2 linked regions of the Drosophila melanogaster genome follow. Changing the gene in region 2 together with the main gene of any one other region gives a genetic interaction. Each region holds a gene or a part of one and is shown on either strand. Other genes may lie near its edges.

Region 1 (7,894 bases), on a different chromosome or scaffold from region 2:
CCGTATCCCTCCTCGTCGTCGCTGTTGCCTCCTTGTTGCTGTCGCCCGAATTTGTGCGACCGCGTGGACATGCTGAGGTCCTTGGTCACCGAGGTATCGTAGTTGCACTTGGGGCATGGAATTGGCTTGTTCTTGTCGTACTTGAAGCCCTTGCGACGCACGTGATCCTCGCAGTAACAGGTCTTGCAGCGCAGGCAGGAGTATTGACCCAGCTTGTTGCACGATTGACACTTGTAGTTCTCCGACTCCAGCACCTGGAACCGAATGGATTGCATTACCAAAAGGCGTCATATGAATCTCAAAATGAAGTTCGGAACAAGCTTAATGAGTATTTTTGGTTACCCACCTGACAGCTGGCCTGGTGCTCGAACTGATCGTCCTCGCACAGGAATCCGTTGCAGAAGGAGCACTTGAAGATGCGCCCACCGTGCTCCCAGACACCGCGTTCGCACTCCAGGCAGGTCGCATTCTGCAGCGGACACGTGCAGGCGTGGTTTTGGAGACACTTGCGTCCGTGGCAAACCCAAGCCTCGCAGAAGTCGCAGATGGCGCCCACCATTCCGAGGCCCGTGGTGTAGACGCCCGGATGTTTGACCACGCAGTCGCCGGTCTTTAGCATGCACTTGATTTTCCCGCACTGGGCGCAAATGGGTAATCTCTGAATGCTCTGGCAGAAATAGCAGAAGGCTCTCGACTTCTGCTTCTTCTCGCACTTGTCGCACTCCATTGGTGCATTGCAGGGCAAATCCGCAAGAGGCACCTCTCTGCTGCGGATCTCCTTGAGGCGAAGCTTCTGCTTCTCGGCCTTCTTACGCTGCCCAGTCTTCTTTTTCGGCATTTTTGAAATCAAGGAATTAGAAAACTTATTTCCTTACGTGTGCGGCAGTGTGGCTGCTGCGGGTGCGCCGAAAAATACCACAAAAAGCTTTCGAATATTCCGCTAAATATGTAGCTACATCTTGAAAATAGCTACAAAAAATGCGTTAAATTAGCATCGTGGAGTTAGCGGCGACGGCGGAGCCGAGTAATTTAACACATCATTTTTCTGGCCAGCGTGCATTTTGGAATATGCTCTGCGAGTGGAGATATTCCTTGAAAAGTAGCTAGCCGATTTTTTTATTGCATATTTTATATACTTTCTGAGTCCTATAAACTTTAGTCGTACATAGATAGTTAGATCTCTTAAATAGTTCGATTTATTAAGATTTTTGCATTTGTATTTTTTTTGGAATTTACCTATAAATAGCGAAAAATTAAATAAATAAATAAGATTCTCATTTTCCATATTTCACCGTTCTGCCATAGACGCTAATTTGACCCACATAGATTTTCAGTGGAAACAAGTGGAAGCAACAACCGATTAGTGTAACCAAATACCTTTGCTTTTATTTAGGTCTAGTATTTTTGTAAGGTCTGTCTACGGCTTTCCTTTCCACAGGAAAATATATTTTCAGTTTTAGGGAAGGGGTGCTACAGTGAGCGTCTTTCGTTCCCAGTGTCGTTATTTCTATAGTATTGCTGAGATATATATCAGAGCAGTAAAGATATTTAAATATAAGTTCTTCGAAATGGGTGGTCACGACAACTGGAACAATGGTCAAAATGAGGAGCAAGATGTAAGTAGCACACAAAACCGCGACTGCACAGGGAAAAAACTCAGTTCGGCCATAATCCCAATATATATATATTTTGGTGATCAACGCGCTTTTACCCATGCGGCAACTAAAGTTGATGTGCTAAAGCATTTCGTTGCGGTTTTGTTACTTAAGACTAAGACTAACAGTAGTTGTATCTTAATAGTGCTAGGGAGTACGATGCTGTCGGTATTGGTTTCTCTTTTAGCTTTTTAGTGCAAAAGGCGTGATCAAGAATACACATGTTACACACATTTTTTAAGGCATGGTGAAAAGAAACAGGGCAGATATTGTAAAAGTATTGTATTGACAAGGGTGTCTGTCAACTTATCGTTATCGTTCTAGGTAGTATCGAATAGGTGCTGGGTTTAATCGGGTTGTAGAAACGGTCACACTGTATTCAGTTTTTTCATTCGTCTCGTGTGTCAGGGGACTTTCTCCATTTGCAATAGCAAAAAAAATAGTTAGATTAGAAGTTGTTCAACTTTTGCATTAGTAAAATGGTGAACTCGAACCAGAACCAGAACGGCAACTCCAATGGCCATGATGATGTAAGTAGTGGATATTAAGGGTCTAGAAATTTCCTGTAAGCTGGTGTCTCGCCTTGCCGGTCGCCATTTTGAAAATTACGCATGTGTCTCAAGGGCGGAAAGTGAGGTTATGGCCATTGATAAAATCAATAATTTAGGACTTTCCTCAGGACTCCATCACCGAGCCGGAGCATATGCGCAAGCTGTTCATCGGTGGCTTGGACTACCGTACCACCGACGAGAACCTAAAGGCTCACTTCGAGAAATGGGGCAACATCGTGGACGTGGTGGTCATGAAGGATCCGCGCACAAAGCGTTCCCGCGGATTCGGATTCATCACCTATTCCCACTCGAGCATGATTGATGAGGCCCAAAAGTCGCGTCCCCACAAGATCGACGGTCGAGTGGTGGAGCCCAAGCGCGCCGTTCCCCGTCAGGACATTGATTCCCCGAATGCCGGAGCCACCGTAAAGAAACTCTTTGTTGGCGCCCTCAAGGACGACCATGATGAGCAGAGCATCCGCGACTACTTCCAGCACTTTGGCAACATCGTCGACATCAACATAGTCATTGACAAGGAGACTGGCAAGAAACGCGGATTCGCCTTCGTCGAGTTCGACGACTACGATCCCGTGGACAAAGTTGTGTGTAAGTACAACGCTTTTCCTAATCTAGACAATATCAAATATCCTTTAAGAATGATTTATCTCTTCGAGAGTAGACTGTTAGGAAAATCACATTGCCATGTTCTTAGATTTATACAATACAGATTGAATTATCTGCACAGGAAACGAATATTAACCCCATTTGTGTACGCGGCGTTCGTGTAGAAAAAAAGTATGACATGCAACCACCCCTAATCTATATGCTCAATCAGCTCTGGCACATTGTAGGGCTTCTCGTAAATGTCCATCAGCGTCGGATAAACGAATGCGCACTATAAGCAAGAAATTTCGATAAAATTGCAATTATTACAATATATCCACAGTCCCAGCTCCGCATAGCAATGTTCGATGTGCTTGTGCGGCGTTTGTGACTGTAAGAATAAATTCCAGCCAGTATTATATCATTGTTGTTGGTGCTCTTCGTGCATCAACGATGAAAGAGTATATGGCACACTATAGCTTGAATCTAAAACTGTTTCCTAATATCACAGTACTGACAAATTAACTGGTTTGAAACCATCACCAGGGTAGTTTTTTTTTAAACGCTGTGAGATGAATTAAAGCGTCGGCTAAGCTATGTTATGCGAATGTAAGCATTGCGCCTATTCAGTGTAACACGCAGCCTCGTTACAATAGTTCAATTAATTGCTATTATGGAAATCGATACACAGTCCCAGCTCCGCATAGCAATGTTCGATGTGCTCATGCGGCGTTTGTGACTGTAAGATAAAAGACCCAGCCCATATTATATCGTGTTGTTGGCGCTGTTCGTGCATCAACGATGAAAGAGTATAAGGCACAATATCACATTGAATTACCAACTATATGAAAAGAATGAGTATCTAAATGCCTTCGCTTACTTGAATATACTGACAAATCCACAGAATGGTGAATGTTATTTAGCGTGAATATATCTCCTAAAATTAGCTACGATTCCACAGTCCCAGCTCCGCACAGCAATGTTCGATGTGCTCGTGCGGCGTTTGTGACTGTTAGAATAAATTCCAGCCAGTATTATATCATTGTTGTTGGTGCTCTTCGTGCATCAACGATGAAAGAGTATAAGGCACACCTTGATTATCGAACCGATTAAACAGAAAGTTTCTAGATCAGCCCCTTCGTGGACGTCACAGTACTGACAAATTGACGGGCTTGAAAAAGTCGCCTGTATGGTTTTTATTTAAACGCTGTGAGATTAATTTAAGCGTCGGCTAAGCTATGTGATGCGAATGTATATTATAAATCAATTCTGTGTAACACGCAGCCTCGTTACAACTGCAAATCAAATGCACCGAAATGGTGAATGTGTACTATCCGATATCGATCCTAATTTTAGCTAAAATTCCACAGTCCCAGCTCCGCATAGCAATGTTCGATGTGCTCGTGCGGCGTTTGTGACTGTAAGATGAAATCCCAGCCAGTATTATATTGTTGTTGTTGGTGGTGTTTGTGCACCAATGATGAAAGAGTATATGGCACACTATCCTCCGGATGCACCACATAGGGAAGTTCATTTTCGAATACCACTAATAGCATGCTTTCCCTCTTTATTTTTGCAGTGCAAAAGCAGCATCAGCTGAATGGCAAAATGGTGGACGTAAAGAAGGCCTTGCCCAAGCAGAATGACCAACAGGGAGGTGGCGGAGGACGCGGTGGTCCGGGTGGTCGTGCCGGTGGAAACCGCGGAAACATGGGCGGTGGAAACTACGGCAACCAGAATGGTGGCGGCAACTGGGTAAGAACTTATTGATCGCCATCAATTCGATTTGAGGCTTATTACTGGTTAATTGGCATTGCAGAACAACGGTGGCAACAACTGGGGCAACAACCGCGGGGGTAACGACAACTGGGGCAACAACAGCTTCGGTGGTGGCGGCGGCGGCGGTGGTGGTTATGGCGGTGGCAACAACAGCTGGGGCAATAACAATCCGTGGGACAATGGCAATGGAGGCGGCAACTTTGGAGGCGGCGGCAACAATTGGAACAATGGTGGCAATGATTTTGGAGGCTACCAGCAGAACTATGGCGGCGGTCCGCAGCGAGGTGGCGGCAACTTCAACAACAATCGCATGCAGCCCTACCAAGGAGGTGGTGGATTCAAAGCAGGTGAGCAACAGCACGTCTGTTGATGCATTACTGATAACAACTAGATAGCAAGACACAGTACCCTGACACCTAACTGTTAGAGCGTCGATAGAGTTTGGCAGTTAGCTTATTAAACGCTGTGAGATCAACTGACGATGGCCTTCGCTATGTTATGCGTATGTAAGATAATCCCAGTACGACGTAACACGCAGCCACGTTACAGTTTTTTCATGAACAGTCACCACCAGTATAGAAACTAGACTAGAAAGACGATTGGATATGTTCCTAACGATCCTGGGTTTTCTTTTAGGCGGTGGCAATCAAGGCAACTATGGCGGAAACAATCAGGGCTTCAATAACGGTGGCAACAACCGCAGATATTGAGAGAGATTCCGGACGAGGTGAGACATCCAAATAACCACTACTAACACAAAAATATACATAGTCCAAGGCGAATTCAGGCCATAACTAACCGCTTATCTATCCCGTATGACCATTAATCTTTCGCTTGATTTGACAAACATATGTTGTGTGTTTTTTTTTTTTTATAATAGCGCCCTTATCGGCATTTTTGGTAGTTTATAAAGCATATTGAGACTAAAAAGCAAAACGGCTGAGACAGTCCGACCCACCTTACTCAACAAACTTATATACGTATTTACACTTTTAAGTATTTAGAGAACAAAAACCCATCAACCAATTAAGAACTCCTTTTCATACCAATTGTTTTAAATAACGTTTCTCATTTATCGACATTTTATAGGTGATAAAGTAAAAGTCGCTCAGTATAATCCCAAAATTCAAAGTCAAGTAAACGATACGCAATTCAATGATCAATATGATGAAGTATGAACGCACGTTCATAGTCCTAAGAAGTTTTCCGAGCACCACAAACCAAACATTACAGATTGATTGATCAGGATCAGTGCAGTGCAGTGAAGTCGTAAGAAGTTTGGTTCAGTCTTGGATTAGAACAGAAAGAGAGATCAGTACCAAGCAAGACCAGACCAATACAGAGTGCAGTGCAGTGCAGAGCAGTGTGTGAGCTAAACAGAAGAAACACAGCAAGTGGCAGTACACGTACACAGAAGGTGACCAGGATTCCATTCAATTTGTCTTTGCAAGCGATGATAAATTGAATGTCAAGAGGCGCATCGAAAACTATCCAATACCCACAGAATTGTAATCTATAATTTGCAACCCATATGTAGCAGCCCATATAAGTAACATTGTAATTAGATCCACAAAGCCGACGACAGGCCAAACATTTGTATCTCCACCACACGAGCAACCAACCAACCAACCTACTTAAAACAACCAGTCATAAACGAATCAGCTATGTAAAACTTCAAGGCGGCAGCCGAGAGATATGTTTCTTTGGTTGCAGACAGCTCTCCAGTCCATCGGCTGCCGGCAACTTTTGATAATCAGAGCAGAAAACACAAAATATATAAAAACATGTATTACATTTTACAACTTTACTAGGCTAAGTTCTCATAGAATTAAATCGAGTAGAGCGTGCGGAGCGACTTCTGCATCCATCCGCACGCTACCCTAGTCTTAATAATTTTACTATTCAAGTTCTAAGCGAACCTGACCGTGTGTGGAGGAATCTAGATACTTAGATTTTTGAATAAGTGTCGACATGGATATAACCTCTTCCGCTGCTTAGATGTAACCGATCAACAAACAACCTTTATTGTAATTTATACCTTTTAGCAAGCAGTCTGTCTGAGGAGTCAGCGCAATTATACTTAACAAAATTTACATTTTAATGTAGCTAAAAAATACAAGATGCAAAAAAAAAAAATAAGCAAGTGTCCCGCAATTGATGTAAACTCTGACGAAAGAACAAAAAGTATATAGCTAAGCCAAAGCCTCGTAGTTTTCTATATTTCTGTAGCAGCATCAGCAAAAGGATCTCGATCAGAATGAGAGTGTATTGCAGAGGTAACAAGGTGCAGCAAGTCTGACCAGGTCCAAAAGCCAGCCAAGAATATGTACTTTACTATAGCATTTGTTGTGGGCGGGCCATTAACGTCGTTCGAGAGTTCTCCTTTCACTCGCTTAACAGGAATCATTTTCCCCTTTTATTTGATTTGCCCCCCGCCTGCTGTACCATGTCATTTACAACCATGTATATTATTGTAATTTCTGTTGCCAGTTGGCTGCGAAAAGTATGCGAAGCGCTGAAAGACTGCCGCCGCGCTACTGAATGCAGCCACGGAAGGTGCCCGCGTTTGCTAGCAACTCCGGTCGCTGGGTTTCGGTTCCCTCTGGGTAAGTAATCCTCCGCAGATCCCAAATCCGGAAAAAGTTGTAACTTTCAGGTGGTCTGAATCGGCTCGTCGCACCTGAGGATGGAATGGATGTTGAACGGTTTCCCCTCTGCACCATCGTAAATATACGACTTTTATTTATTACTTCATTTTATTTTCATTATTACTATCTTTGAATAAAGAAATTTCAGAATACCAAACAAAATGATTTTCGTTTCATTTTGAATTAAAATTTCACCAGTGGGGGAAAATAACGGTATTTGAACAATAATGGCGTTGCGAATGTAACGTGATTGGCGTAAAATCGCAAATTCCGTTTTATATAGTTGAATGATTTTCAAAGCATTCATTTTGTTGCATTTAATGTTAAATTTTAATTAGTCCACTGAAAATAATAAATCATGATAAATGAGCACTGTGTCTGTCACTTTGTTGTTGGTTTGAGTCTTCTCTAAGTGGTGAATAAGTTTTCTGCGATATATTTAAGCGGTCGCAATACGGTCATACTAATTGCATTTCTTTTAGGCAGGGGGCGTTAACTTGCGAATTAATGACTATAACTAACTAAAACACCGACTAAGGACCTCTGAAATGGACTCTACTGCCACTCGCACGCTGCCCTTTGTGTACAAGTATAAAAATCATAAAGGCCAAGACTGCGAATCCCGGCTGGACATCACTTTTCCCTTTGACCAGGAAAA
Region 2 (5,207 bases):
TCAACTGGTTTAACAATAAAAACAAAGCTCAGGCGGCGTTGGCGTTGCTTGAACGTTCAACAGAAACGAAAAAGTTACCGTCTTTTTTGTTGCTTCTCTCATGCGCTGCCATCGATTGTCGGGGCTTGGCTTTCTTTGAGGGAAAAAATATACAAACTCACTTAGAAACTATAAAAAATGGCAATTTGTACGCTTTGCCTTTTTCTCCGCTTCTTGCTCAATCGTATGTCTCACACGCGCTTCTAATGTCTGGATACGATACATAAGCTCGTTCAAGATGATGGCATATAAAAAGCTACACGAGTTTTTCAATTGACTTGGAAAGTGGCAAGCGACTGCCAGCATGCATCAAATGGATCGAGCCCCAGCGAAAAGTGGGCGTGATGGGCAACAACAATGGCTCACTGTTTTTTGGCTCTCGGCTTTGCCACACTTTTGATGAATTAGCCGTTTTTTTTCCATCGAGTGTCGGGGCTTGGAAAATTGAGTTGCAGCTGCAGCTTATGATGGAAGTGGTTGGCAGGGAGCGAGGAAGTTCGTTGAGCCGGATCATACCCAGCTGAGACTCATTAAAACACCACTTGAACCACGATTCGTGTTACACCGCCTCTAAGTGCAGGTCAATAAGTGGAGTTGTTGTCTGATTTTCAAGTCCAAGCCAGTTTATGCCTTTGTGCGATGCTATGGGAGAGAAATGGCTGGAAGAGCTTGATTGATGGGGATTCTCAAGCAGGGTAATTGATTTACTTATAAATAAAATAAAAATACTTCCCATACCGGGAATCGAACCCGGGCCTTCTGGGTGAAAGCCAGATATCCTAGCCACTAGACCATATGGGATATGTTCTACTTTCTTCCAAGTTATATAAACGTTTTTGTAGTTTTTCCTTGTTAAAAATGGTGCACGTACTTTATAAGGAATTTTATGCCTTGTTCATTTTTAAATTTATAAATAGAAAATATACAGTGGTGACTTTAAAACATGTCCTAAGAGGCAGACTAAGGACACACTTTAGTCACCTTCCAGACAAGTCCCATATTGTCTAGTGGTTAGGATATCCGGCTCTCACCCGGAAGGCCCGGGTTCGATTCCCGGTATGGGAAACTTTTTTGCCTAATTTCGCTTTTTTTTTATTTGTTACCATCAGAGGGTTAATAATTTTGGGCTTTGTTAAAGGGGTTGACTGACCATTATACAGAGGTGGTCAAAAGTATTTCCACAACGAGCTTTTTTTTTCAATTAGTTGACAATGGTTATTAGTTGACAATTGAAAAAAAAAGCTCGTTGTTCAAATACTTTTGACCACCTCTGTATATGTTTTCATTCCATATCTTAATTTTCTTGTATTAATAGTTTTTCCTGGGTTAAGCAAAATAAACAAATAAACACAAGGCATTCATTCATGTTGGCGAACAAAACGAGTCTTTGCTACAACACAGATAGCCTCCCATATGGTCTAGTGGCTAGGATATCTGGCTTTCACCCAGAAGGCCCGGGTTCGATTCCCGGTATGGGAAGAGTACTTTTTTTTTACTGCTTAAAATAATTGATAATTGATTTTCCACATATATTGAGCAGTCTTCAAGTCTATTGCTTTCGGTAATTGTATGTATTTATGTTTGTTTTTGCTTTTCTAGTGTGCTTTATTTCTTTGCAATTGCCTAGCGCCACCAATTGATGCCAATCGGACACGCTACGAAATAATTCGAGACTTTTTTATGGCCGTTGCTTTTCGTTGCCCCAAGTTGTCAATTGTTGATGTTTGTGCTTATGTAGAAAGAAATAAGAGAAAAGAAAAAGGAGGGAAAACGGTTTTGTTAACGACGGGCAAAAGCTCAAAGAGCCAGAGTACTTAACTTTTGTTAAACCGAAAATTAGGCATGCCCAGAATTGCAACATGTACTGGAAGCAACAGCAACAACGACAATAGCCTGCCGCAAAACGTGTGGCAAGCGAATAGCAGCAACAATAAAACGGGCACAATGCCTTGACTGAGTTTTGAACGTTTTTTTTAGTTTCTTTTTTTTGTAGTAGATACGGAAAATTGCTTTTTCATTGTTGCAGTAACCAATTTTTGGCTGTTATTGTTGTTATTTACAAGCTGACTTGGCAAACGGAAAATCAATTTTTAATTGCAACAAATTTGAGAGAGCTGCGGGACAGGCAAATTGCGAGTTGGCCAAAAAAGGCAAATTAAAGTAAGCGTTAACGAAAAACAATTGGCATTTTGAGTCAGAAACGGGTTTAACGGTATCGCAGAGGCAGCTGCAGTATCTTTTGAGGAAACACGCCGCCACATGTCAAAGGGGGACAGCAACAATATGTCAAAATCTCGATGAGCAGAGCAATGAACCGTTGTAATTAGCATACGTCCGCGTGCGTGCGTGTAACAGAGAGCACAATAGAGGCACTTTCGATTATTGAACTTGTTAAATTCCGCATTTCTCTGTTTGCGCTCGGTGCTTAGATTGTTTATTATTTGGTATTACGCTTATTCTTTTGCTTTGGTTGCTTACCTGGAAATGATCTCTTTCCTTTGGTGCCTAACCGAAAAACAAGCGAACAATTAATTTCATTAGAAGTATCTAACAAATGCGAATCCAACATGAGATATAGTAAAACAAGAAATAAGTGTGAGCAAATAAGATAAGCAACGCCGCGTGGGGAAAGAGAGAGAGAGAGAGCTGTTGGTGAGAGCGAGAACGACGCGAGTTGTTGGCGGAAACTCCTGTCGCAGCAAGCAGCAGCAACAACAACTACAGAACGGCGACAATTACGGCGCTTTATTGATTTTTTACAAAACAACTATTCGAACACGAAGCGTGCCGTTTGCATTTGAAACTCGGTTTTCAGCTTATATCGAGATTATTTAATGCACAACAAAACGGAGCACAAAAGAATTTCGCACACCAGCACAAGTTTTAAGCACTCACACACACACACATACGAAGCGACTTCAATGTCAACTTCACTTTTTGTATTTTTATCTACTGCTTCGCTATTTTTGGTTTTCTTTAGCAGTATTTAGTACTTTGAATTTAGTATTTAACTGCACTTTATTACCCGTCAGTCTGCACGCATCCGTGCGCTCGTTGGTCGAGAAACAAATTATTCAACCGCCACTTTGCTTTTGGCCAAGCGCGCTTTTCCCACAGCTGTTTTACTTAAGCGATAAAACGCAGCGACAACTATCAGTCGCCTGGCTATCGATTTGACCCAGGGAGGGGAGCAACTAGCTCTGCCAATCGAACTGGTTCCGAGCCGAAATTCAAAAATGTCATCGGTAAGATAACGTGTTTAGCTACATCCCTTTGGACATGTTTTCTACATGTTGACTTACATTTTACATTATATTTAATTTTATTAGCTTGGCGGTTAGTTTTGAATATAAATTGAAGGTAAAAAGGTATAGACCAGTTTTTTCTATTCTTGTTTACCAGATGATATATCGCACCACAATTGTTCGCTCTTTTAATGCTCATACTCATAAAATATATTGCTCTTTAATATTATAATATTTTATTCTGCATTTAGGTTCTTAAGTTTCGTATTTTTTTTAGCTTTTTACCGATGCTCAACCCGAATTTCTGTGTCGCCGCCGGAAGCAGTGATTCACATTGGGCTTGACACCCTGACATCGATTGTTCCAAGCCACCCAGGCGGAGAATCCTTGCTGTTTCCTGATGTACTTCGCACAGGCAATGGAATACCGGATATCGTCGCTCAACAGCAGGCGGCAGGGCAAGCGACACAGATCGTTGGATGGACGACCATCCGCCGGCTTGCACCAGTAACGATCGTTGATCTGGAAGAGACCCCAGTCCACGGATCCATCAACGTTCGAGGGATTGATGGCTTTTGTGTTGAACGAGCTCTCGCCCTCCACGAGGCACAGCCAATCGGGTAGCTCGTTGTAAGCCATTCCGTATCGATACAGCTGCCGGGCCAAACTGCATCTGCCCACCTGGCGGCCAGTGGCCAGTGATAGCGTTAAGAGCACCAGCAGCCAAATGGGCCACATCTTCCAGAAACAATGCAGGCTTCTAATGGTAACTCGTGGCTTATATAGCCATCCAGTTTGCTGCGAGATTCGGAGCACAACTTGGCCCAATCTAATTTTTACAAGCACTCATTTGGACAGCTCTGAAGTGTGGCCCACACTCGAGCATAAATTATCAACACTAGGCGACAAAGATTGGAAGTCATAACCATCTCCAATTCTTTTATTTTGTTGGAGCTATTTCGGAAAGGCTATTGCTCTGAGAAATCAGTAGATATATGGTTATTTTAGGGTGTAGAACTAAAACTACAATTCTCTAACTTAACTTAAATCCCAAACATGCAGATGAGTGTCAGACTTTCAATTCTCGATCATTGAAACAGGCCGATCGGGCCAGTTTCGTTAATATATGGAGTGGGAATCGCTCGCCATTTAAGCGAGGCATCTGCCTGGCCCCAGATTCACTTTCAATGGGTTCTTTTGTGCGATGCTCAGGTATTATATAACCATGTTGACAGCTGGAGGGGCCGGAGCACTTGAGATCGCGTGTGCGCCAACAATCGAACAAAAACCCCGAGAGAGCAAAGTCATTCAACTTTTGGACAACTTGTCGTTCTTTCTTTGTTTTTGTTTAACGTAAAAAATTAGTACAAAAATATGCAATAAAAATGGCATGTGTTGATACTATGTTTATCCCAAACGAATCTCCTCCATTTCCTGAGCGGGCGGCTGCTTGATCTCCTGTTCCGTTGGCGGCACATATCCCTGTCTCGGCAGGAATTGCCTCTTCCTGGATGTGGGACGTATAACGATGTGTGCTACGCATGTGCAAATGGCGGCTATGGCAAAGTATTTGAAGCTCTCTCGTCCGCCCAGGCTTTTGAACATAAGTCCGCCGATTAGGGATCCGATGGAGAAGCCAAGTCCATCGTCCATGCCGGCCATCAATCCTTGAACGGTGGCCGATGTTCCCGGAGGAGCCACCGCCGAGGCGTAGGCCACAATGCACGTATAGCACAGAGCATAGGTAATGCCCTGGAAAAAGAGCTCCACGCCCACCAGATACCAGGGATTGGGAATCCAGGCGATCAGCGACAGTCGCACAGCGTAGAAGAAAAAGCACATGCTCATGCAATGAACATAGCCCAGTTTTTTGATAATCTTTCCGCTGTAGAAGAAAAAGGGCACCTCGCCGGCCAGACACTC

Evidence for each region.
Region 1: of mrj (region 2) and Hrb98DE, changing one suppresses a phenotype caused by changing the other (phenotypic suppression), as found in Drosophila melanogaster (one study listed by BioGRID).

Annotation. Positions count from the first base shown.
Region 1 is NT_033777.3:28,598,384-28,606,277, forward strand, and holds Hrb98DE (heterogeneous nuclear ribonucleoprotein at 98DE), read left to right. Parts: upstream 1-2,023; 5' UTR 2,024-2,134; coding exon 2,135-2,185; intron 2,186-2,322; coding exon 2,323-2,812; intron 2,813-3,145; exon of another isoform or gene 3,146-3,285; intron 3,286-3,314; exon of another isoform or gene 3,315-3,464; intron 3,465-3,493; exon of another isoform or gene 3,494-3,633; intron 3,634-3,763; exon of another isoform or gene 3,764-3,903; intron 3,904-3,956; exon of another isoform or gene 3,957-4,106; intron 4,107-4,172; exon of another isoform or gene 4,173-4,312; intron 4,313-4,388; coding exon 4,389-4,564; intron 4,565-4,628; coding exon 4,629-4,935; intron 4,936-4,987; exon of another isoform or gene 4,988-5,139; intron 5,140-5,224; coding exon 5,225-5,298; 3' UTR 5,299-5,315; intron 5,316-5,677; exon of another isoform or gene 5,678-6,712; intron 6,713-7,078; 3' UTR 7,079-7,394; downstream 7,395-7,894. Other genes in the region: Noa36, read right to left, coding at 1-254, 347-838; CG9986 (uncharacterized protein), read left to right, coding at 7,785-7,894. UniProt on the Drosophila melanogaster protein: This protein is a component of ribonucleosomes.
Region 2 is NT_033778.4:16,218,606-16,223,812, forward strand, and holds the start of mrj (mrj), read right to left. Parts: upstream 3,189-5,207; 5' UTR 3,065-3,188; exon of another isoform or gene 3,031-3,064; intron 2,545-3,030; 5' UTR 2,518-2,544; intron 1,519-2,517; exon of another isoform or gene 1,447-1,518; intron 1,105-1,446; exon of another isoform or gene 1,033-1,104; intron 841-1,032; exon of another isoform or gene 769-840; intron 1-768. Other genes in the region: CG7798 (uncharacterized protein), read right to left, coding at 3,576-4,022; CG15706 (uncharacterized protein), read right to left, coding at 4,692-5,207.